Linked DNA regions of Ovis aries. The protein of the gene in region 2 interacts with the protein of the main gene of each other region in a pairwise test. Links are inferred from orthologs where the notes say so. Each region holds a gene or a part of one and is shown on either strand. Other genes may lie near its edges.

Region 1 (4,836 bases), on a different chromosome or scaffold from region 2:
CTCAAAGTTTGGACCTACTCATGGTAACCCTCAATAAGGATGTTAGCTGGAAGGATAAGGATGTTAGCTGGAAGGGTAAAGAAAGGGGGGATTTCTAAACGTTGTCCTCTCGTGGCCATGCAGGCAAACACTGATGCCACTGAGTAGGCTGTCTTCATTCCTAAATTGGGTGATTGTCTTTCCATAAGTATTGCTCCTAGAGTCGAAAGAGGGGCACACAGCAGGGAAATTTATGCAGAAATGACATCATATGTCACAGGGAGCAGAGTAAGGCAGTCGGGCTACTTCAGCTCTGGCTTTCCCTCTGGCCTTGTAGTTGAGCTCGGTGGAAGCCGGAGGAGCCACAGCCTTCATCTACGGCAACTTCAGCGTTCCTGTGGTCAAGGTAAGTGTGGGTCTGATGCCAACGGGTGATTTTTAGGATTGTTCAAACTAACACCTCAACTTTCGTGCTGTCTGTGCTTGCACGCCTGTCCTGGGAGGGGCCAAAAGAGAGGTCTTTCTTGATTTCCAGAATCAAAGATAGTTCCTCAGTTTTCTTGACTACTGCATTTACTTGTATCTCTATTTATTTAAATTTTATTTACACTTGTATTACAAGTAGATGCCTTCCTATTACAGTAGAACTCCTCAAAGGTGAGAAATCTTTTATTCCTCTTCAGAATCTCAGCAACAACTGGTCCCTTCAATCATTCTTTCAGTAAATACTGGGGACTAGAGGCACTCAGAGTACAGAGGAAAGGTCATAGTCCTTGCCTCCAGGAGCTCACCGAGAGGTTAACAGGCAGTAATGGAATATACTGCAAGAAGAGCTAAAAAGTCAAGCAAGGCATTAAAGGAGGGCCAATGTGGTAAGAGGTTTACTTAATGAATGAGTATCTCCCCCAAATTTCAGAGCAATCAATCAGTCAATCAGGGATGACAGCCCTTAATTACTTCAGGAATGAAATGAAGACAAATAATTGAGATCGTGCCTTCTAGCACTTAGCACAGTGCCCAGCACATCCTAAGCATTCAATAAGTAAATGCCGGGTGTTTAGCAAAATTCAGCGGTTTGGCCAGGGATAAAGTAAGTGTATAGGAGAGAAATCTGAGTATAAGAGGTAGAAAGAATAGAAGATTTGGAGTCAGAACACTTGGGTTTGAGTTCTGACATTGATCCTCCTTAGTTACATTATTTAAAGCCCCTAAGCCTCAACTTCCTTTCTGCTAAGGTGGAAATGACAATGATGCCTGCTTCCTGGGGGTGTTATTAGGAAGTGCCTAAGAAAGGCTAAGCATCAGAATGAAGTTCTTAGTTGTGTGAGGAATATTTTGCTCCCCCTTGTGCTTTTTGTTGAGTGCCTGGCCTCAGTGATCCCGTGACACCCTGTGCTCCCCTTTCCCCTGACACCTGTCAGTCTCCTCCTGGTTTGTTTTTATGTCTCTCTCCCACGAGACTATGAGCTCCCTGAGAGCAGAATTGATCATGATTTGTCTCTGCATCCACAGGGTCTGGAGAAGGGCAGGGCCCTGTCAGTAAGGCATCAGTGAATGAGTCAATGGCAACTTGTCTACCATTTTGTGCCATTTTATGTATTCCTTGCCCCCATCTGCATGGACGGTTTTCTTGGTTAATGACATGTATGCATTTGTCCTCAGTCAGGTGCTTCCCTAGCACTGAGACTCTGGGCTGACCTTGCCTGGGGCGGGGTCTGCTTCTTTCAGAATGCAGCTCTATTTTGGTGGAACCTGCACAGGAGTGGTGAAGGGGATGGTGACACACTTCATGCTGCCTGCCCTGTCCTGGTAGGAGATAAATGGGGTAAGGCCTGCCTTTCTGGGCATGGGAAAGGGGTGAGGGGTTCAGGGGAAAGTGAAATCGGGGTTGGATAGAACATAACATAGCCTGTCATTCCAAAAGCTTCGTAACAGGGACTTCCCTGGTGGCCCAGTGGTTAAAACTCTGAGCTTCCATTGCAGGGGCCCTGGATTTGATCCCTGGTCTGGGAACTAAGATCCCACATACTGTGTGGCAAAAAGAAATAAAGAAGAAAATTTCTTGAACTGAATAAAAATGAAAAAACAACAAATTAACTTTAAAAAAATTAAATGGAAAATAGCAAAATTAGGGGAAAAAAAGCTTCATAGCAATGTCACATTATACTGAGGTGATCAGATTCTGGGCTAGTGGCCACCAGTACCTTAGGAACCCATAAAGGGGAGGCTTCTGTCCTATAGCCAGTGTCAGTAAAAGTTGACTGGCCTGACCAGACAGGCCTGATTCCTCAGGACAGCTAAAGAAGAATCAGTGCAAAGTCCCACTCCTCTGTTCCAAGGAGAAAACCATCAGGTGCTTTCCCATAAGGAGAGGTCAAAGAAAGATAAGTAAGGGACACACGCACATCATACATGTGTCCACGAGAACTTAGCTCTTAAGACAGAAACAGTAGAAGAGGGACTCTTGTGCTGAGGTGGACCTGACCAGGGAGGGTCCATGCCTTTTCTCTCACTACCCTGAAATGGTACCCTGTGGGAGGAGGGGCTTTCAGGAGCTACATGAAGGGGAAATGACCACAGTACCCATGGGTTTGAAAATTAAGTCTCTAGTAGATAGGACCTGTGGGGATTTTTTCCAGGGACCACTGCCCTTCTTGCTCTTTATTGCTACTGGAAGCAACATCTTGTAGTCTGTGACAGGCCTGGGACCAAGGTGAGGCAAGCGAGTCCCCAGGGGTATGGAATTTCATGGCCCTGTGAGTATCGCCTCTGTCTGATCTGCTGAGCCTGCTCCTCTGCCTCCCCGTTCTCCCTCAGTGGCCAACAAGTGGATACACGAGTACGGACAGGAATTCCGCAGACCCTGCAGCTCAAGACCTGAAGACTAAAGTGTTGGCAGAGAGGAGCTGGAGGAGGCCTTCGGCTTTCCAAAGAAGCCGGAAGTAAAAAGCTAGGGTAAGAGAGTAGAAAGGGGAGCAAGCTTCTGGAGGAGGCCCTTGTCAGCACTGTCTGTTCCTTGCAAATGGGAGACAAGGAAGTGGTCTCTAGCAGGGACATTGTTTCTCCTCAAGCCATGACTCACAGCAGAATGACCAAGACAAAGGAGGGGGCCCGAAGGCTGGAGAGAGAAGTTTCTGGAGCTCAGACTCTCTTTTGGAAACAGGGCCTATCAACAGTCTCCAGGGTTTGGTCGGTGGGGCCTTCGCCACTTGAGCCTTGACCACAGGGGCCCAGAGTGGCAGTGAGGCCCCTGCAGCCGACGCCTGACTCCCACGTGCCCTTCTGCCCACTGACTCCTGCTGAAGGCTGAGCAGGGGGTGTCTCTGTATCAGGAGTGTACCTCATGTGATGACTTTTTCATAGCAGACAGTAACTTTTTTAAAAAATATGATTTTTAAATACAGCCATTAAAATGTTTTAATAGTCATAAAAAGTGTTTACAGATCATTTTTCACAACCATGAACATTCTTATGTTCTGAAAACAGCAGAGCAGAATGTTTTATTTATGTATAATCTCATCTTGGCTCATCTCCCACCACTCCCCACTCAGTGCATTCCAGATGCATTCTATTTCTTAAAACCGACATTGGTCCCACTCTTCAGGTCTTTGCACTCACTGCTGCCACCGGGGCTGAGCCCTCCTCATCATTCCACTCTTGAATCAGTGTCGCTTCAGAGAGAACTTCTTTGACACCCATCCTTCTAGCCATTTTGTTCACATAGGCCAACTTTATTTTCTTCCTAACACTTTTCTCAAAGTTACTTTATTCATTTAATTGTGGTCAGTTGCCTGCTCTGCATGGTGAGTGCTTTAAGATCCCTCTCTGCTTTGTAAATGCCTCACTCCATTTTTCAGTATTTGTTTATTTGCCTAGCTGCTTGCACTCCTTATACCTCTTGGTATACCCCCCAGAAAAAGGTCTGTTTCAAATAAGTAGGCATTCAGCAAATATTTTTGGATAAATGAGTAAGAAGGCCTCCTTTGAGCTATGCTTTGGAGGACGGGTAGGATTCTTATAGGCAGAGTCTAATGAGGAGCAGCACTTCCCAGCAGGACTGGCATGAGCTAAGGCTGCAGTGATGAGTGACTGATATTTGAGCACTTGTGCAAAATGAACATTCTAGGCAACGTGGCTATTTCCTCAACAGGAGATGAGGGTGTGTGTTGTGCTCACAGAGAAGCCACACAAGTAAAAGGCTAGATGCTTAGAGGCTGTGCTGCCTCTGCCCCCTCCCTGTACCACACACACCAGGATTTCTGCCTCCCAGAGCTCCGTGGGCCCCGAGGAAAAGGTCCTGGTGTGCTGATATCCGGGATCCAGCACAGCCTCTGTGAGCACCTGTCACCAGTAGTTCTGCTGAGTGCATCAGGACTCTGGACGCCCTCTTACTAAATTACTGTCACATAAGTGAGCAAAAACACTTTCCCCCTCCCCTTCTGAATTCTTAGGAGCTCTGAGTTCTGAAACCTCTATAGTAAAAGACATTAACAGGAGGAACATAAAGAAGTTTATTAACATGTATATATCATGTATACATGGGAGATACCCAAGGGAAAATGAGTAATTTCCTGAGGTGGCTTAGAACTCAGAATGAAGTACTGTCTTAAGAGAGAAAGGAAAGAGGGGAAGTAAGCCGCTTAGATTTTTAGGAACAATGAATAGTCCTTAGAAAGGGCCCACAGATGGGAGATACGATAGTGATTGTCTGGGCGTGGTGTCCACTTGTGGTCTCGTCTCCTGTGCAGTTTTCCTTGGTTGGTAAAACTCTCGAGGGAATTTCAGACAACTGAGTTCCTTTTGGAGCATCTGTCTTCAGGCTGGTGAGGGGAGTTTAGAGAAAAGGGTGCAGCTGTG
Region 2 (6,275 bases):
TAACCTGGAGGAGTGAGAACCTCCACATGTTATTTGGAAGATTTGTCTCTCCTCCTCCAGTTAATTATTTATCCAACAATTTATTTCTATCAGTGCTAACTCAGAGATATGGATTTTTATACTCTGGGTTACAACCAAACACTCAGTTACCCATTTTATTGCTCTAATTGTTGCAGCTTTGGCCATTGGGAGCTTCAAGCTCCTGAGGCCCTGTGACACACCCTTATCCTTTTGAGTTTGGACCACTTCCTAACTCTGGCACCACAGGATGCTCCAAGCTCACTTTTTTCCCTGTCCCAGCCCCAAAATCAGCCATTTCTCCAAGGAAATAATACATTTTTAAAGACAAATCCTCCAATTGTCTTGTCAGTAGTCCAAATACATTGCACTGAATTTGAACAGGTGATGAAAGAGTTAATTTGCTCAATGAAATGTTAAAACATACTTCAATTTTTATAGCTGGAGTGTGACAAGTCTTTTTAAAGTATATTAGGAGCCTCAAAACATTGGAGGGAACTGGCCCTTTCTGCATTTCCAGGAGGCCCTGTGGAACTGAACCTCTGCAGCCCACTGCCAAGGCTTCGCAGCAGCCTGCCCACCCTTCCTAGAGCATTGATCTAGCTCCTGTGTCATTCCCAGACGGAGCTGCCCAGTGAGCTTCCAAGAAAAAAAAAATCATATTTGGTCCAGCCTCTCTTCTTCATTTCAGGTGGGCTCAGTTGCTCAGTCGTGTCCAACTCCTCATGACCTCATGGACTGTAGCCCACCAGGCCCCTCTGTCCATGGGATTTCCCAGGAAAGAATACTGGAGTGGGTTGCCATTTCCTCCTTCAGGGGATCTTCCCAAACCAGGGATCCAAACCTCAGACTCCTGTGTCTCCCACATTGCAGGCAGGTTCTTTACCCGCTGAGCCATTGTGGGGGAAAGTTTCCAAAGGCCAAGGTAATTCCTGGGACCTTTCCCTCTCCAGCCTCTCCTTGTCCCCCACCCATGGGTGACCAGTCCTGAACCTCTGCAGACCCCACCCAGGCTGGCCAGGTGGCAGGAGAGCAAGAAGGCTCCAGGAAGGAAGTTGGCAAGATAGGTGTGCAAAGAATGGTTGGGGGAGGGAGAAAGGCTGGGCACATTAGATCCAGAGGGCTCCTGGGGATTGAGGCCATTCCAGCTACAACTGGAGCAGGGTTTCCCCAGGAGCAGTCCTGGGTTCTGCAGAACAGAGTCAGCTTCTTGGGAAAGAGCTGCCTTCATGAGCCGGAAGAGAGCGAGACTGCGGCTCACTCTGGGAGGACACAGAGCTGCGTGACTCATCGCCGCCCAGTACTGCCGGCTCCCTCTGGCACAGTGCTGGGGAGCACGGGGCCCAGGAGTACAGGCGGAGTCCCATCCCAGTCCTGGCCCAGAAGGCGGTCCCTGGCCAGCGATTAGAATCCAGCACGTAGGGACAGAGGCAGGATGCTGTGGGGGCACCGAGGAGGAAGCAACTCAGCACCAAAGGAGTCTGGGCAGGCCTCACAGAGGAGGTGACATCATCAAAAAGAGGAATAGAATTGGTCAGGCAGCAGCAGGGAGGGAAGAAGGGGAGGGCACTCCTGGCCAAGATAGGAGATGCAAAGGCACGGAAGTGTCTGCACAGCGTTGGCACAGTGCCCACCACCCAGTGAGTACTCCATAAATGCCAGGCATTATCGCTGTGGTTGGTTTATCTTCATTATGGTTATTAACCTGGACTCATTACTTAATATTTTTACTACCATAAAGGAGTTACTACAATGAATAAATGTCTAACTATACTGCACTTTTCACTGAACTTTTCTCAACTATAAAAGGGGCTGTTGTGAAGATTAGGTCTAAGGCACACACAGCACTGGGCAGGAGTGGTGGTGAGCAACATCTGAGGCGGCTTCATTTTCTCCCTCTCTTGGAGGCCAGCCCCTGGGGTTGCTGTGCCCGGGAGGCACAGAAGAAGAGGTATTTGGGGGGGGGTTTAAAGGTGACCAGTCAACAAAGCAGGGACTTGGCTAGGTGGAGTCATTGGGGGTTTCAAAAGCGACAAAGGTGTCACCTGGAGCCCTGGAATAGGAGCTCCTGGCCCTGGATGCAAGTCTTTTCAGCTGGAACAAGGCAGGTTGTACCTGCCTTTCTATTCTGACAAGGTCCTGATTTCAGAAGAAAACTGTACCTGGCCCTGGGTGGGGCCCCAGTTCTGTGTGTACCTGTTCCAGTCACGCTGTACCTGTTGAGTGTTCCTGATTCTCAATGTGAAAAGTTACTTGCCTGAGTGTACCTGTCTTGATAACTATGGCTCTGCCTCCAACCGTGTGTGAACCAAACTGTATACTCTGTTCACTCGATCGTCCCGGACTGTTCCTTCTGCACACTTAGGTCTGAACGTACGCGGACCTGTACACTTGGTCCGCCCGTGACTGACTCGATGTGCGTACCTGCTTTGGCCCGGGCTTACCTCACGCCTTGCGAGCCGTGCACTCCTGCCCTGCAGATCTCCCCACCGCCAGGGCCCAGAGGTTCAGAGGAAGGGGCTGCGGCCCACGCCCCCGCCCCCATCCCAGGCCGGGCCGGCGGCTCTGGGGCAGCGGGGGCGGGGCCGGAGGCCAGGGCGGGGCGGGGCGGAGCGGCGCGGGGGCGGAGCAGGAAGGGGCGGTGGCCGCTCCGCCCCTCGCCGCCCGAGCCGGCTCTCGGCTCTCGCCTCCCCTGCCCGGCTTCCGCGTCACGGTCCCGGGCGCCACCTGCCCGCCCACTCGCCCCGTATAAAGTCGCTGGCGGCCTGGCCCCCGGGACTCGGCCCCATGGAGACGCCGCCGGCCGCGGCTGGCGCACGGCAGGGTGAGGCGCTCGCGGCTGGGAGGGGGAGCAGGCCTCCGGGGCCGGGGGAGGAGGGGGTGGGAAGGGCTCGAGCTGAGACCGACCGGAGCAGGAGGGACGTGGGGCCAGTCCACTCCGGCCTTGCCGATCCCCGGGGCCTCCTCCAACTTTGCCCAAGTCGGAGGATCCTGGGAGACCGAGGTCCGGAGTGGGAATCGGGCGAGAGCGAGGTTCTGGGCCGCGTCACCGAGCCCGGAGGCCAACCAGAGTTTCCCAGCAACTTTTCTCGCTGGTGGGTCGCCCTGGAAACTTCCCCTCCCCCGGCCCGGGAGTCCGGCCACGGGCCCCGCGCCTCCCGGCCTGGGCTTCGAGCAGTGGGCAGACGGACGCGAGGAGGCGATGGCTTCAACGGGGAAGCCCCCGCCACCCCCTTCCAGCGCACTTCCAACCCAGCGGGTTTCCACATGAGAGCCCCGCCCCGTTTGCCGTGGGGGCGCGGTCAGGTCCTCGGAGGCCTCCCACGATTTCTGGGTCCCCTGGTTGGCGGGTGTCGGGGGTGGGTGCTGGGGATGGGATGGGAGGAGGGGTAAGACTGCCCAAGTTCAAATCCTTGCGTCACCAGCTAACAGCTGGATGACCTTGAGTACGTTCTTAATGTCTGTAGCTGAACTTTCCTCCTTCATAAGATGGGAGTGATGCTCTCTAGCTGGGAAGGCTTTTGAGAGGATAATATAGGTAAAAGGCCAAGATGGCTTTGCATACTGCCACCCATATTGTTGGATGGAGAGGGAGGGACAGGAAAGGAGGTGAGCAGGAAATCCAGTCCCATCCCTAACCCTCCTGGTTGTCCTACAGGAGCTGTGAAAAGTGCCTTCCACCAATCTGAGCTGTGAGTGGCCAGTGAAGAGAGGCCCAGGCAGGAAGCCAGCCCCACCATGAGCCTGTGGGAACTTGAAGACCGCCGCAGCTGCCAGGGGACCCCCAGGCCGGCCCAGGAGCCCACGGCCGAGGAGGCAACGACTGCAGAGCTGCAGATGAAGGTTGACTTCTTCCGGAAGCTGGGCTACTCATCTGCTGAGATCCACAGTGTCCTGCAGAAGCTGGGCGTCCAGGCAGACACCAACACAGTGCTGGGGGAGCTGGTGAAACATGGGTCAGCGGCCGAGCGGGAGCGCCAGGCATCGCCGGATCCCTGCCCTCAGCTGCCTCTGGTCCCTCGGGGTGGGGGCACCCCCAAGGCTCCCACCGTGGAGACTTCTCCACCCGAGGAAGACAAGGAGGGCAGTGACCTGAGACCCATAGTCATCGATGGGAGCAACGTGGCCATGAGGTACATGTCACTTCTGTGTCCAAGACCGTGGCCTCTGGCCGGGATTGGTGGCCATGTCTCTACATCTCTTATAGAGGGGACTTCAGGAAGGAGTTTGGTCTCTTCTCTAGACTGGTCTAGAGGAAGGGAAAGCCCTTTATGAAGGTCCTACTGTGTGCCAGGAGTCTCCCTTAATCCTCACAGCTTCTTGGAAGTGGGTTTTAGGGCTGTTTGAGGGGGCTTAAAGAGTTACTCTGGGGCCCACTTCTCATAAGTGCTGTAGCAAGGATTCGAACTCAGATCCTTCTGACTCCAGAGCTGCCTTATGCTCTCCATGAGGGATCAGACTGTGGGCTCCAGCTTATTCACATAGGAGCCGCCTTCCTCCTCTATGAGATGGGGCTCACCACCCTTCAGGTGGTGCTTGTGAGGAATGAATGCCTGGAACCTGGAGAGAAGGGCTTGTTCATCATTGGTAGTTGTTATCGTTACTGTTATTCAGGGTCTGGGACTGCTGGGGCCTTGTTGTCTCAGACCTGGGCTCGCGTGGAAGCCGGCCCAGCTACTAAGGCCTTTGCAGCTGTGACCAAGAGTAACCTTGAGGATCTGGCGACATCAGGGGTGTGGTCGGGTGGCTTGATGCTTTGGCTCCAGGGGCTTGATGACTTGGGTCGCCTCTGCTTCTGCTGGAGCCACCTAGGCTAGACTGGGCTCTCAGGGTCCCCCAGGGACCAGAGCTAGGCCTGGGCCCCAGTAGCCATCCCCACCTCTTCCCCTATGCAGGCTCTCATGGGGGGGCGGGGGAGTTGGGGGGGGGTGCTGCTGCTGACTCCAGAGAACCCAGACCTCCCTTCCATTCATCCCTGCCCTCTGGCCTCACTTTCTCCCTGTCCTTTCAAGGCAGGCTGGTGAGTCAGGGCTGGGTGTCTAGTTCATAAGGAAAAGTTCCTGCAGGTGCGGATGGGGAGACCCCAGACACGGGTGTGGAGTGGGAAGGACTCCTTCCCCCGCCTCCCTGAGGGCTCTCCCAGGTGGGCTTCATGAGGCCTCTGTCCTCTTCCTGCCCCCCATCTGCCCCTCCCATACCTGGCCGAGCTCAGCTGTCTGCCTGGGCCCGGCCTAGCTCAGTAGATATGCAGGTGGCCCTCCTCCAGCCACTTCTGGGTCTGTTTTCCCATCTCTGAAATGGTTTGAGCCTAGGTGGAAACTGAGGCAAGCTGGCATCCACAAGCCCACAGCAGCTGGTCACCCTACGTGCTTTGAGAGTTGGGGGACCCCTCTCGGGCTGCAGTAGCAGTTGACTGGGTCAGGAGTTGGGATCCCTTAGCGACTCCCTCCTCTGGGGGGCGTGGGCCGGAAGGCTGAGCCCTGGGGCAGCCATGTGCAGTGTGTGTTTGTATCCTGGCCGGAGGAGGAGGAGCCGGGCAGGGGGAGGGGCAGGTGGTGGAAGGCCTGGCCAGAGGCCGAGCCGCTCGGGGTTTTCTGAGCTGGGGCAGTAGCAAAAGGGGAATTCCAGCCTCTAGCTTCCTGTCTCAGCTGCTGCTGGGTTCCTACCCTCCTGCCCCCTCCCGCCCCAGGGCAGGCGGGCCAGCCCCTACCATATGCAAATCGTGGGGAAATTCACCTCTTGTTTCCTTCTAAGGGAATTTTTCTCCACTTGCTGGGCCCAGCCCAGGCAGATCTTTTCACCTGGGTAGCCCTGCCCTCTACCCAGGGTGGGAGTCTGGAGTCTCCAGCAGAAGCACACGTCGTCTAGTGTCTCCTTAGGCTGAGGGGCCCTGACTTTCTGGGCCAGCAGGATTGCGGTGAGGGTGAGAGGATGTCTGGTTCTCCTCTGCCAGCAGAGCTTCCTCCCAGGCAGTGAGAAGGACTGAGGTTAGCTGCAGACAGGCGCTCCTGGCTTGGGAGGGCAGGATCTGGGCTTGACTCGAGGGACCGCCACACGTGCTCGACTTCTGCCAAGAGTAAGGCTCTGTTCGACTGCTTAAGGAATATCCTGGGGACTGGGACGACTGAGAGCAGACTTGTCCCCTGCTAAGGTTTCTGATTCCCATAAGCAGTGCTCTGTCCCGGAAGCCCCAGTGGACCCCGAAGTCCCAGGGCTTGTGGGTGCTGGCCTGGGAGGGGGCGTGTGCAGGTACACAC
Region 3 (5,714 bases), on a different chromosome or scaffold from region 2:
TCAAATGAACGTCTACAGTAAAAAAAAACTGTATGTGAATCATGCAGGTAAAACAGGTCTAGTGCTAAAAGAATGAGCTTTACATTCAACAAGGAAGACAAAAGTATCGCTCTCTTCTCCAGAGCAGAGGCTGCCTAAAGTGCTGAGAGGCAGGATTCAGGATGGGCTTCAAATCCTTGCTCTCATCTTTTCCTGAGTTGTGCAGAAGATTCTGTCCTCTATGATACCCCACCTACTCTTTCTGTCATGGAAGCAGCTTTCAAACCTTGGGGCCATTTTCTGATCTGGGCCTTTGGCTAACACCACGAAAAAGAACTTGGTGCTTTCGAGGTGACATTCTTCCTTCTAAGTCATGTCTTTCTCCAAATGTCAAGATGTTTGGGCCAGGGGGTGTAAGAGAATAAAAGAGACAGGATTCAAATTGCTGGAGGCATCATTCCTTAAATGGGAAGTGAACTCAGGGGCGGATCAGGGGGTTCATGCAGCCTCCCGTGGCACTTTTTGCAGGCACAGGTGTGCAGGTCCTCAGATTCTGGACAGGTTCCAATTTGAGTCATTATGTTCTCTCTCCCCAAGTACCCCCTACTGTTTCTAGTGGATACAGAATTCTTATTCACTTCCTGTACTAAACTGTTGTGTAGAGTTGCTGTGCAGCTGTTGAACAGCTGCCACATTCTTCTCCATACACAGTCTCTAAAGCACTTTTGGATGAAAGGCAGCTATATAAACATATTTTATTGTCAAGTACTGGTTGCCTTTCCACTTAGTAGTAGACTTTGTGAGGTTCTAACTATCAAATCCAGATCTGTATTCCACAGCACATCTATGTTAATTTCTTCTCCTTCCTGCTCCTCAAACCCCTCTAAACAATAAGGCTCTTACCACAAGGGTCCGTAGACAAAGAGTTCCTGCAGGTGCACGAGGGTCCAAGGCAGCTACAAGATCCCACACTTTAATTTTTCTAAAGATCAAAAAGGGGACCAAAATCTTAATAAAGAGCAAAATTAAAGGGACACAAGAAAAATAGCAAGAAGTCATGGCAATAAATATATATGGTGAAGATAGTTGATACGATAAATGCAGCTCACAGGATATATAAAAACGTTTTTGATTTGGAGACTCAGTTCATGCATTCATTCTTGGGTAGAGGTTATTAAGTCTTAAAAGGGGAAAATGTATGTGATTAACCTAAAAACAAGAAATAGGTTAGCTTTAAACAAACTGAAGAGAGTGAACAGTGAAGTCACACCATACTTTGGGGCCAAAAGGCGTTCTTATATATTAGAACTCTTAATAGTAGATGAGATCACTTAGAGCTAGAAACCTATAACTCTGAGGCATTTTTTTTCTGGTCAATTCTGACAGTGGCCCAGGTCACACATATCAGAGGACTGGGGTCCATGTAAGACTCTGAGTTGATATAAGCAATATTTAAATAAGAAAAGTTTAGCCCTTCTATGAATCGATTTTATGTCCTGTATCCTCAAGGTAAGTAACAGACAAAACCCAAGAAAAGGGTACAGATCAAAACCAGGGCAGTAAGAAAAATACAGCCTTGGACTTAGCTGAAACATGTAGTCATACCCCCAACAACTTCCCAAGGGTCTGACAGTGACGGCTGACTCAAAGCAGAGGAAATGGGTCTGTTAACACTTACTGCTGCTTGAGTCGTCTTAATGAATCAAGTATAGCCAGCTCGTAAACTAAGATAAAGTTGTAAGTTAGTTTCTGATATTTTTAAAAAGCTGCCAATATTTGAACTGTGGCCTTCCTGTCCTCCACATCAGGCACCCTGATGAGAAGAAATGACAGACAGCATTTCATAAATGAGTTCTCTCTTGTAAGAATATACTATGTGCTCATTAGCGTCGCTGGATGTGGGATCCATCCACAACATGAACGGAGTCTGTAACCACTGGAAAGTAGACTGAAGGAAAGTAAAGATTATTTAATGCACTGTGACTGAAATGCCAGCAGTATACTAAGTCCCCTCCAAAGATACTATCCTCCAACATTTCAATTTTATTAACAAGTCACTATTTTATATCCATATCCTGATATACTAGGGTTTATCCAGTTCTCTGCTTTATAGGGCAAAATAAATATATGAAAAAAAATCCAAAATACTAATGAAAATCATGAGCAAACAAGTATAATTAAATGACTGCGAAGATTATTTGGAAAAGAGTGAACAAAGGAGATGTGAATACATGGATTAGACACAAGAATACTGTATCAGATTCTTTCTGTGATATCTATAATCTTTTGGAGACAAGGAAAGGCTATGTTTAACATTCTAAGGCAGGGGGGATTAAGAGAACTTTTAAAAACCCTGTCAGCACGCTCACCCATCATAGGCTCCACTGACTATCCTCTTGTTATCAAATCGAATACAGCGCACCAATTCCTCATGGCCTTCTAACACTCGTAAGCATGCACCACATTCTATGTCCCATAATCTGAAAGAGAACATTGAGTGGAGTGAATTTCCATGCATTCTTTTCTAAGCTTGGAATGTTATAACAACATACATCGTATGTCTTTTAAAATATCCAAAATATAAAAACCAATCAACACTCATATACAAATATATTACTTTCAGTGTAATTTATTTACTTTCTGCCATAGAAGCAGAAAAATGTACGATTTAAGTTCAAATATGTTGTAAATATTTTTAAAGCATCAAGCTTCATATAAACCTATAATCAGGGTCACCAAGGAATATAAAAGATGAATTTAATGTACACAGTTGCCTAAGAAGGAAAGGGCCAAGCCAAGAAACATAATATTTCTGGAAACCACAATTAAATAAGAATGAGATACAGGAACGGTGACATCCTGCTCTCACAAAATATGTGTACCTCTATCACTGAGGACACCCTCAGCTTTCACCCCACTGTTCAGGACAGTTTTTCTCATATAATAGAAATGCAAAGTAAGTTCTCAAAAATTTTTATATACCAATTTAAATTATGTATGCCTTCTGACCAATCCACATGATTTCTAGGAATGCTAATTTCCTTAGATATAACAATGTCTGTCTGTCGTTTTTTCAATGGCTTTTTCATTCCCTTAGCACTTCTTTGAAGGAGAGGAGAGGGTTGATAAATCTTTCAAATTCTATGCATATGTGTGTCATTCATTTTCATGAAGGGAAAACACCGAAAAGTACTTCAATTTGAGGATTCTTCATAAGTTGTTCATAATTTCGAAGACTGGTAGGTCCCTGGCCCATTATGTAATGCTAAAAAACCCAAAATTGTACAACTTCTAGTAGGGGAACAAATCTATTTTCTTTTTTTAAAAACACTGGCAAAGAGAAAAGCCCTTTAGCTGTTTATTAGCACTTATCAACTGCAGACAGGAGAAATTTAGAGAAGGGCCTTCAACCTCCATTTTTATTTCTCTTGCTCACTTCCTCATTCAAGAAGTTCCTTTTAAATAGGTCTATCTGGTGATAAAACTATTACAGGAAGGAAACACATCAACAAAAGGCTTTGCTGTGCCGTCTCTCTGCTTGGGGCAAACTTTTAACCTGTAAGAAGCCACAGAAAACTGAAAAATGTTTTATTATAAACAGAACACAGTTGACAATTCCTTTGGTCTGTGCACAAACAATAAATGGCAGGATAATAGCAATCCCTTCTGGGCAAGGGCACCTGCTGCTCACCTGATTGTGTTGTCAGATGAGCCACTCACGACCAGCCTGTCTCTGTACTGCAAACAGGCAATTCCGCGTTTGTGTCCATTTAAGGTCCGTACAAATTCACAAGTACTTGTGTTCCACACCTGAAACAGAAATGGCATTTGGCAGTTGATTTGGTGCTTTTATTAGTAAAATCTATGGCAACTGCAGTTTTAGGGAAGCAGAAAATGGGACTGAACTAGCAGGGGAAATTCAATGTCTTAAACCAATCCAAGTCAAATCCCAGATGACAAGTTTAATTCACAGTAATATAGGGCTAATTTGTAGCTGGTTGCTATCATATGAGAAATCCTCAGGTTGATGTGCTCTTATGGGGTCAATCTCGCCTTGTAGACAAATCTTGAACCTAAAATTACCCCTGCCTTTTTCATACTCACCATTATTTACAGGAATAAAAACCTAACCCAAATTGTCACATGATCTATCTGATTCATTACATAAACTAGTATCTGATTTAAATAAATATTAAGTATTCTACAGTGAGGGTTAAATATAAAATTGTCCTTGAGAAGATATCCATATGAACTCCCCTACTCTAAGGTGGGGACTTACTGAAAAATGCCTCATTACCTTTATAGTCCTATCCCCAGATGCAGAAACGATGTACTTATCATCAAAGTCTACAACATTGACTGCAGCTCGGTGTCCGACAAGTACCCTGCGGAGGGTGATGTCAGTTGGGGAGGCCATATCCCATACTGCAATGGAACGGTCTTTGGAGCAGGTCACCATCATGCCATTATTGAAACGCAAGTGCAGAACTGCTTCACAATGGTGAATCAATGTGTTCAGCATTTCACCTGTATTTACATCCCACACCCTGGAACAAAAATATTACGGTTATCTGAGATTGTGGTGAAATTCATGCTACAATCTATTTTAAGTACTGGATTACCTCACTGCCCACCACTCCCACCCTATTTCTCCCAGTTAATGGTATACCTTACTCTCCTTTTGTAGCTCTGAAGTTGAGCTGAGGTGAAGTGTACTAATGGACCATGGGGAAGTGATAGTTAGAGGACTGGACTGGGAAAGCGGGAAGAGGAAGGGGATGGGATACTGCCAGTATGCAATCCTTAAGACACACAACTTGAAATCTGGGCTAGCTGCAGGGTGCTGAAATGAGGGTGCAGCAACCATCACCAGCAAATTGTTCCCAAACTTCAAGATTATCATAAACCTTCTGACATTTAATCTGATACATTTTAAACTGGTGGGAATTTTGCTAATAACTGCAGCGTTGGTGGTCCCACAAATAGCCCTTGGGTCCTAGAACTGACACAGGCCAAGAATCTTCTGTAATAGACTGACTTAGTACTGTGGATTTGAGCTTGATGGCCTTGGGCCTTAGTTTTCACCACACAGATCAAGGCGTAAAATTACCTAGACTCTAAACATAAGGCCCCATTTCTGTGCTCTGAATGAGTGTAGGGATCAAGACCAGCCACCCCAATATAAATATGGGCTTCACAGCAGAGTGCAGGACCCTTAGATAGCTTGAGAAATTTTTGTGAAGGTGTATTTTACTTTGATCACTCATTTTGTATACTTACTTTGTTTTTTTACAATACATTTTATTTTTTTTCCAATTTAACCCTCTCTCTTTGAAAATCATTTTTTCCCTTGTTCAATAAATGATGTTAGCCTCTACAATCTTTAAACTTCCTTAAGGCACTCCACAAGCACCAATAAATGTTAAATGCTGATAACTCTATGAACTGAATTTGCTATGCCTTTAAGTCAAAAGACAAGAAAATGCGAATAGCCCTTTCTATTCACAGAGGATAATTTGGAATGGTAAACATTTAACTTCAGAGAATCTAACAATGCCGTTAACTGCTTTTTTTCTCCCTATTTTTTTAAAGTTACTTTTGATGCATTATGTTTGCTAAATCCTTTAGCTCAAGGCAAAATTCCTAACAGAGGTTTCCAGCAGTTCTGCTGGTACCCAGAACTCAAGCTACACTGGACTCCAGCAGCATAATGGCTGTGTCATCAAATCACTAAC
Region 4 (4,784 bases), on a different chromosome or scaffold from region 2:
GAGGTTCTCCAACTGGTTCATGGGCAGAGTTCTTGCGGAAGTACTGGAGCGGACAGCAGGAAACGAACCATTAAAGCCCGGGTTCTTATGTTTCCTCCCATGTTCCCCTCTCTCCCCCTAGTTATGGAGATCCCTCCTCAGAAACCTGGGTACTGCTGGAGAGAAATGGGTTTCTCCAGTTGGAAGGTGCGCAGCTAGGAATGGGAGGCAGTCACTCACCCCTCGCGCTTGCCACCCACTCTGTGAGAGGGGTCAAGGCTTTCCACTTCCTTTGCCTGAGGGGGGCAACCCTGCTGCTGTGAAAAGCTCAACCCTGGTGGAGTCGCCCTGGGGAGACCGGCCGCCTTGGCGAGTTCCTTCCTCTCGCCTCCAGCCTCATCCTTACCTTGATCTAAGGACATGCTGACGGCCCCTCCAGGCAGTCTGGACTTCCACAAAAGTCTCTCCAGAAGAGTCTTTTGGTCTCTTCCCAGTTTGCCATCTCCAGGCTTCACCCTTCCACCCCCTGCCCCCTTGTGACCAGTGGAGATAGAGGAGATTTGTATCTCCCTTGGATCTGCAGCCCTTACTGAGGTCCTATTTGTTAATTTTCAGATACACAGGTGGGTTAGAAACCTCCTGGGCTCCTTGATGGAGTGTGCAGAGGCACTTTTGTTCCCTTATGGATGTCTACTTAGTTGTTTGAAAAGGGAGAGGAGGGACTTCCCTGGTGGTCCAGTGGCTGAGACTCCGAGCTCCCTATGCAGGTGGACTGGGTTTGATCTCTGGTCAGGGAAATAGATCCTACATGCCACAACTAAGAGTTTGCATGCTGCAACTTAGACCTGGCGCAGCCAAATAAATAAACCTTTTTTAAAAAAGGAGGAAGGGGACAGGGAGAGAAAAGAGCAACTTAACCCACCGGCTATATGCCATCATCACACCATCTGTCTGTGCTGATATTTCTAACTCCAATCCATTACCACGTAGATTATTCTAACCACCCCCCAACCTTGCTTATCCTTAAATTCCCACTCTGACATTGAGAAACTCAACTCCCATTATCCACCATGTATGTACGCCTATCGTTCATTTCCAATGAGCATGTGCAACAGTATCAGAATTATTAACCAGCACTAGGGCACAGTGCTTGTATGCAGTTATCTGTGGCTTAGTCTTATAGATTCCGTCATTTCCACAGTCTGATACATTAGTACATTTCATTCCCCAACCCTCTACAGTGAGGCTGTCTCGTATTTTGTCATAGTTTGACTCTCTTGTCACATGCTGCAGTGTAAGATAAACGAGACTGGGAGGTTCCAAAAACTTTCTTCTAGACAGCATGTCACAGGACCATGCTTTCTGGTGAGCCTCTGTCTCCTTCTTTTTGTCCCCTTCCCTGTCCCTCAGCACTTACTGTTACGCTCTGTCAGCTGGCCCCTCCTTCAGGCTATTTTAGTACTTCCCAGTGCTTACTTAAGGCTGCAAACCTCTGCTCTAAGAAGTTTGATCTTCAAGACCATATTTAGGAAGCAGGGCTGAGGGAAAAGGGACCAACTGTCTTCATGATTCAGGGATCAGAACCAAAGAAGAGCCCACAAGCCAGGAAGACCACTACAACCAGAACTGGTCTTTATTGAGGTGTCAGGGTGCAGCAACACCATGAAGGAGCAGAGCCCGAGGACTAGAACACAGAGGCAGCGTTTAAGGGTTTCTTAGACTTGCAGCCTGGGTCTCTGGGCTAGGAGAAAGGCAGCGTGTGAGGGGCTGCTCACGAGGACTTCAGGAAGTTCCTATATTTCTCCAGGAAAGAGGCAGACAGGGTATCGAGCTCTTGCCGAAACTCCTGCAGAACCCTGTCCTGCTCCTGTTGCTCCCCCGACAGCTGCTTCTTGTAATAGTTGATGTAGAAGCTCACCCAGTCGTTCACCACAGTCACCATGGCTTCTTCGGAGATGGCAGGATCACTGAAGACCTGGAGGGGACATAGGGTGGGGTGGGGGTGGGGGGGCGATCAGAATTTGGCACAGGAGACCCGGCTCAGACATGTGACTCAGGAATAACCACAAACTCTGACCTCCTTTTTTCTCTGATTTGTATTCCCTGTCTCTCATGGTTCCCGTCTAATCCACCATTACCCTCCCCGCTCCAAGTTATTCTCCTTTTTCTGTCCTCGCCCACCTCCCAACACTTCAGGCCTGTCCTCTGAAACAGCACCAGGCTTACCTGCTGATTTAGCAGGATGTTGAATTCCTTTATTCCTTTGGAAATGAGATCCTTATTGGTCTGAATAAGGGCCATCTGCATGGTTAGAGAAAGAGATGAAATTTAAGTATCCTTTTCTCCCAATCTCCTCACTCCCCCCCCCCCCCCCCCCCCCCCCCGAGGATCCCTGGTGCCCTGCAGGGTCACTTCCCCTGCACCACCTTTCTGGCCCTGAACTGCCCTGAGATCACATTTCTCCCCGGCTGGCTCACCTTCAAGTCCAACGGTGCTGTGTAGGTCTCAGCCACACTTTTCAGGCTCTGGCTGTCCCTCTGTGCCAAGCTAGATGTAGACAAGGGGTTCGGTGTCAACCAAAGAGGGAAACGCCCTGCATTTCGGTCCTGAGGGAGGGTGATATGTCAACCAGGGGAGGGGAAGGAGGGAGAGGTTTCCCTGAAATTAGGAAGATAGCAAAGCCAAGAGAAGAGATAAGTGGGGAGACCCAGAAAACCACACCAGGGACAGCCTTGCCTTCCCCGCCACATCCCAGAAACCAGGTTCCAAAGGCTAACAAAATTAACAGTGACTGATCCCCCACTGCAAGACAAGAACTTTAAAAATCATCCCCCTATAAGTGATGGCAATTATTCTTCCAATTTGTAAATGATATATTCATAGCAGCTAACATTACAGTTATGATTTGTGTGAGGCATTGTTTCAAGCAGTATTAAGGTATTTTTTCTTGGGAGTTCCCTGGAGGCCTAGTGGTTAGGATTCAGGGCTTTCAATGCTGTGGCCTAGGTTCAATCCCTGGTCAAGGAACTGAGATTCTGCAAGCCACACAGCATGGCATTAAAAAAAAAAAAAATGAACACCTCACAAAGTATGTATTCTTATAAAAGCTTCCATTAGTCCAGTTCCAATAACAGTCATAATTTTGCAGATGAGCCATTTGTAAGATGGGAGGACTGGACGCTACCAGGCTGAGTTCCACTGGAATGGACACACATTATTCTTATTCTCTACCATATCATCAGGTACTTGACAAAGCAAAAATACCCTTTTTCATCTTTAAAAATATTTTCCTAATGTTTTCCATTTTAATAGATTTTTTCAAATTTCTAAATCACCGTATACTAATTGAAATAAATGAAACATTATAAAAATACACACTGAAAAAGTGGATCATTTTTGCTCCTTCCCCCAACAAAGTAGCCAGGATTAAAGAGATATGTATTTTCTGTCACATCTTTCTCCATTCAAAAACCAATGTTCAGGGACTTCCCTGGTGGTCCAGTGGTTAAGACTTTGCCTTCCAATGCAGGGGTTGTGGACTTCATCCCTGGTTCAATCTTTGGTGGGGGAGCTAACATCCCATATGTCTGGAGGCCAAAAAATGAAAATATAAAACAGAAGCAATTCAAAAACAATAACAAATTCAATAAAGATTTTAAAAATGGTCCACATAAAAAAATCTTAAAAACAAAAACCAATGTTGATATGCTTTTTGTTTATTCCATTATCTTAATTAACATACAGCAAAATTAACTTCCTTTTGGTATACAATGTATGGATTTTAATATATAGATTCATGTAACTACTACCACAATCAGGATACAGAACATTTCCATCACCCTCAAAACTCCTTCCTGCTACCCCCACTCTGATCTCTGGTGGTGTTTTAGTCGCTAGGTTATGTCCGACTCTTGTGACCCCATGGACTGTAGCCCACCAGGCTCCTCTGTCCATGGAATTTTTTAGGCAAGAATACTGGAGTGGGTTGCCATTCCCTTCTCCTGGGGATCTTCCCAACCCAGGCATCAAACCCAGGTCTCCTGCATTGCAGGCAGATTCTTTACTGATTGAGCTATGTGGTAGTCCCCTCTTATCCCTAAACCCTGCCAACCACTGATCTGTTTGCCATCACTACAGTTCAGTGTTTTTGAGGATGTCAGTGCAGGAGACCCACGTTCGATCCCTGGGTCGGGAAGATCTACTGGAGAAGGGAATGGCTACCCACTCTAGTACTCTTGCCTGGAGAATCCCATGGACAGAGGAGCCTGGCAGGCTACAGTCCATAGGGTTGCAGAGTTGGATATGACTGAGCGACTAACACACACTATGATGGAATCATATAGCGTGTAACCTTTGAGACTGTCTTTTTTCACTCAGAATAATGCCCTTAAGCTCCATACAAGTTGTTGCAAGTAACAGTGAGTTAGTTGTTCCATTCCATTGCTAAAGTGTGTACTGCAAGGATGCACTAGATCTTGTTTATTCATTGACCCACTGGAGGCTATTTGGATTGTTTGCAGTTATTGGTAAGCATCAATAGAATAGCTATAAATAGTTGTGTACAGGTTTTTGCGTGAATGTGTTTTTATTTATTTAGGGTAGAAAGGATTTTTTGCCACAAAGAGGAATAATCGCAATGCAACCTGACAAAGAACATGTATAGAGAATTTAAAATTAACTCTGATAATTCAATAATAAGATAATGCAGCCTTTTAAATGGCCAAAAGATTGGAACAGGCACTTCACAAAAAAGATATGCAAATAGCCAATAAGCACATAAAGAGATATTCAACTCACCAGGGAAA

The links.
Region 1: the proteins of ZC3H12A (region 2) and P4HA3 interact in binary tests that used the Homo sapiens proteins (3 or more experiments, as listed by UniProt). The two-hybrid records come from large-scale screens. The link is inferred for Ovis aries from reciprocal best matches to the Homo sapiens genes ZC3H12A and P4HA3.
Region 3: the proteins of ZC3H12A (region 2) and BTRC interact in binary tests that used the Homo sapiens proteins (3 or more experiments, as listed by UniProt). The link is inferred for Ovis aries from reciprocal best matches to the Homo sapiens genes ZC3H12A and BTRC.
Region 4: the proteins of ZC3H12A (region 2) and AHSP interact in binary tests that used the Homo sapiens proteins (3 or more experiments, as listed by UniProt). The two-hybrid records come from large-scale screens. The link is inferred for Ovis aries from reciprocal best matches to the Homo sapiens genes ZC3H12A and AHSP.

The regions. Positions count from the first base shown.
Region 1 is NC_056068.1:52,347,007-52,351,842, reverse strand, and holds the end of P4HA3 (prolyl 4-hydroxylase subunit alpha-3), read left to right. Parts: intron 1-316; coding exon 317-385; intron 386-1,707; coding exon 1,708-1,804; intron 1,805-2,796; coding exon 2,797-2,867; coding exon of another isoform or gene 2,868-2,925; 3' UTR 2,926-3,412; downstream 3,413-4,836. UniProt on the Homo sapiens protein: Catalyzes the post-translational formation of 4-hydroxyproline in -Xaa-Pro-Gly- sequences in collagens and other proteins.
Region 2 is NC_056054.1:12,299,514-12,305,788, forward strand, and holds the start of ZC3H12A (endoribonuclease ZC3H12A), read left to right. Parts: upstream 1-2,794; 5' UTR 2,795-2,842; intron 2,843-3,676; 5' UTR 3,677-3,756; coding exon 3,757-4,151; intron 4,152-6,275. UniProt on the Homo sapiens protein: Endoribonuclease involved in various biological functions such as cellular inflammatory response and immune homeostasis, glial differentiation of neuroprogenitor cells, cell death of cardiomyocytes, adipogenesis and angiogenesis.
Region 3 is NC_056075.1:22,066,796-22,072,509, reverse strand, and holds part of BTRC (F-box/WD repeat-containing protein 1A), read right to left. Parts: intron 4,527-5,714; coding exon 4,277-4,526; intron 3,790-4,276; coding exon 3,671-3,789; intron 2,460-3,670; coding exon 2,349-2,459; intron 962-2,348; coding exon 883-961; intron 1-882. UniProt on the Homo sapiens protein: Substrate recognition component of a SCF (SKP1-CUL1-F-box protein) E3 ubiquitin-protein ligase complex which mediates the ubiquitination and subsequent proteasomal degradation of target proteins. Recognizes and binds to phosphorylated target proteins.
Region 4 is NC_056077.1:28,060,407-28,065,190, reverse strand, and holds AHSP (alpha-hemoglobin-stabilizing protein), read right to left. Parts: upstream 2,521-4,784; 5' UTR 2,457-2,520; intron 2,281-2,456; coding exon 2,206-2,280; intron 1,955-2,205; coding exon 1,751-1,954; 3' UTR 1,589-1,750; downstream 1-1,588. UniProt on the Homo sapiens protein: Acts as a chaperone to prevent the harmful aggregation of alpha-hemoglobin during normal erythroid cell development. Specifically protects free alpha-hemoglobin from precipitation.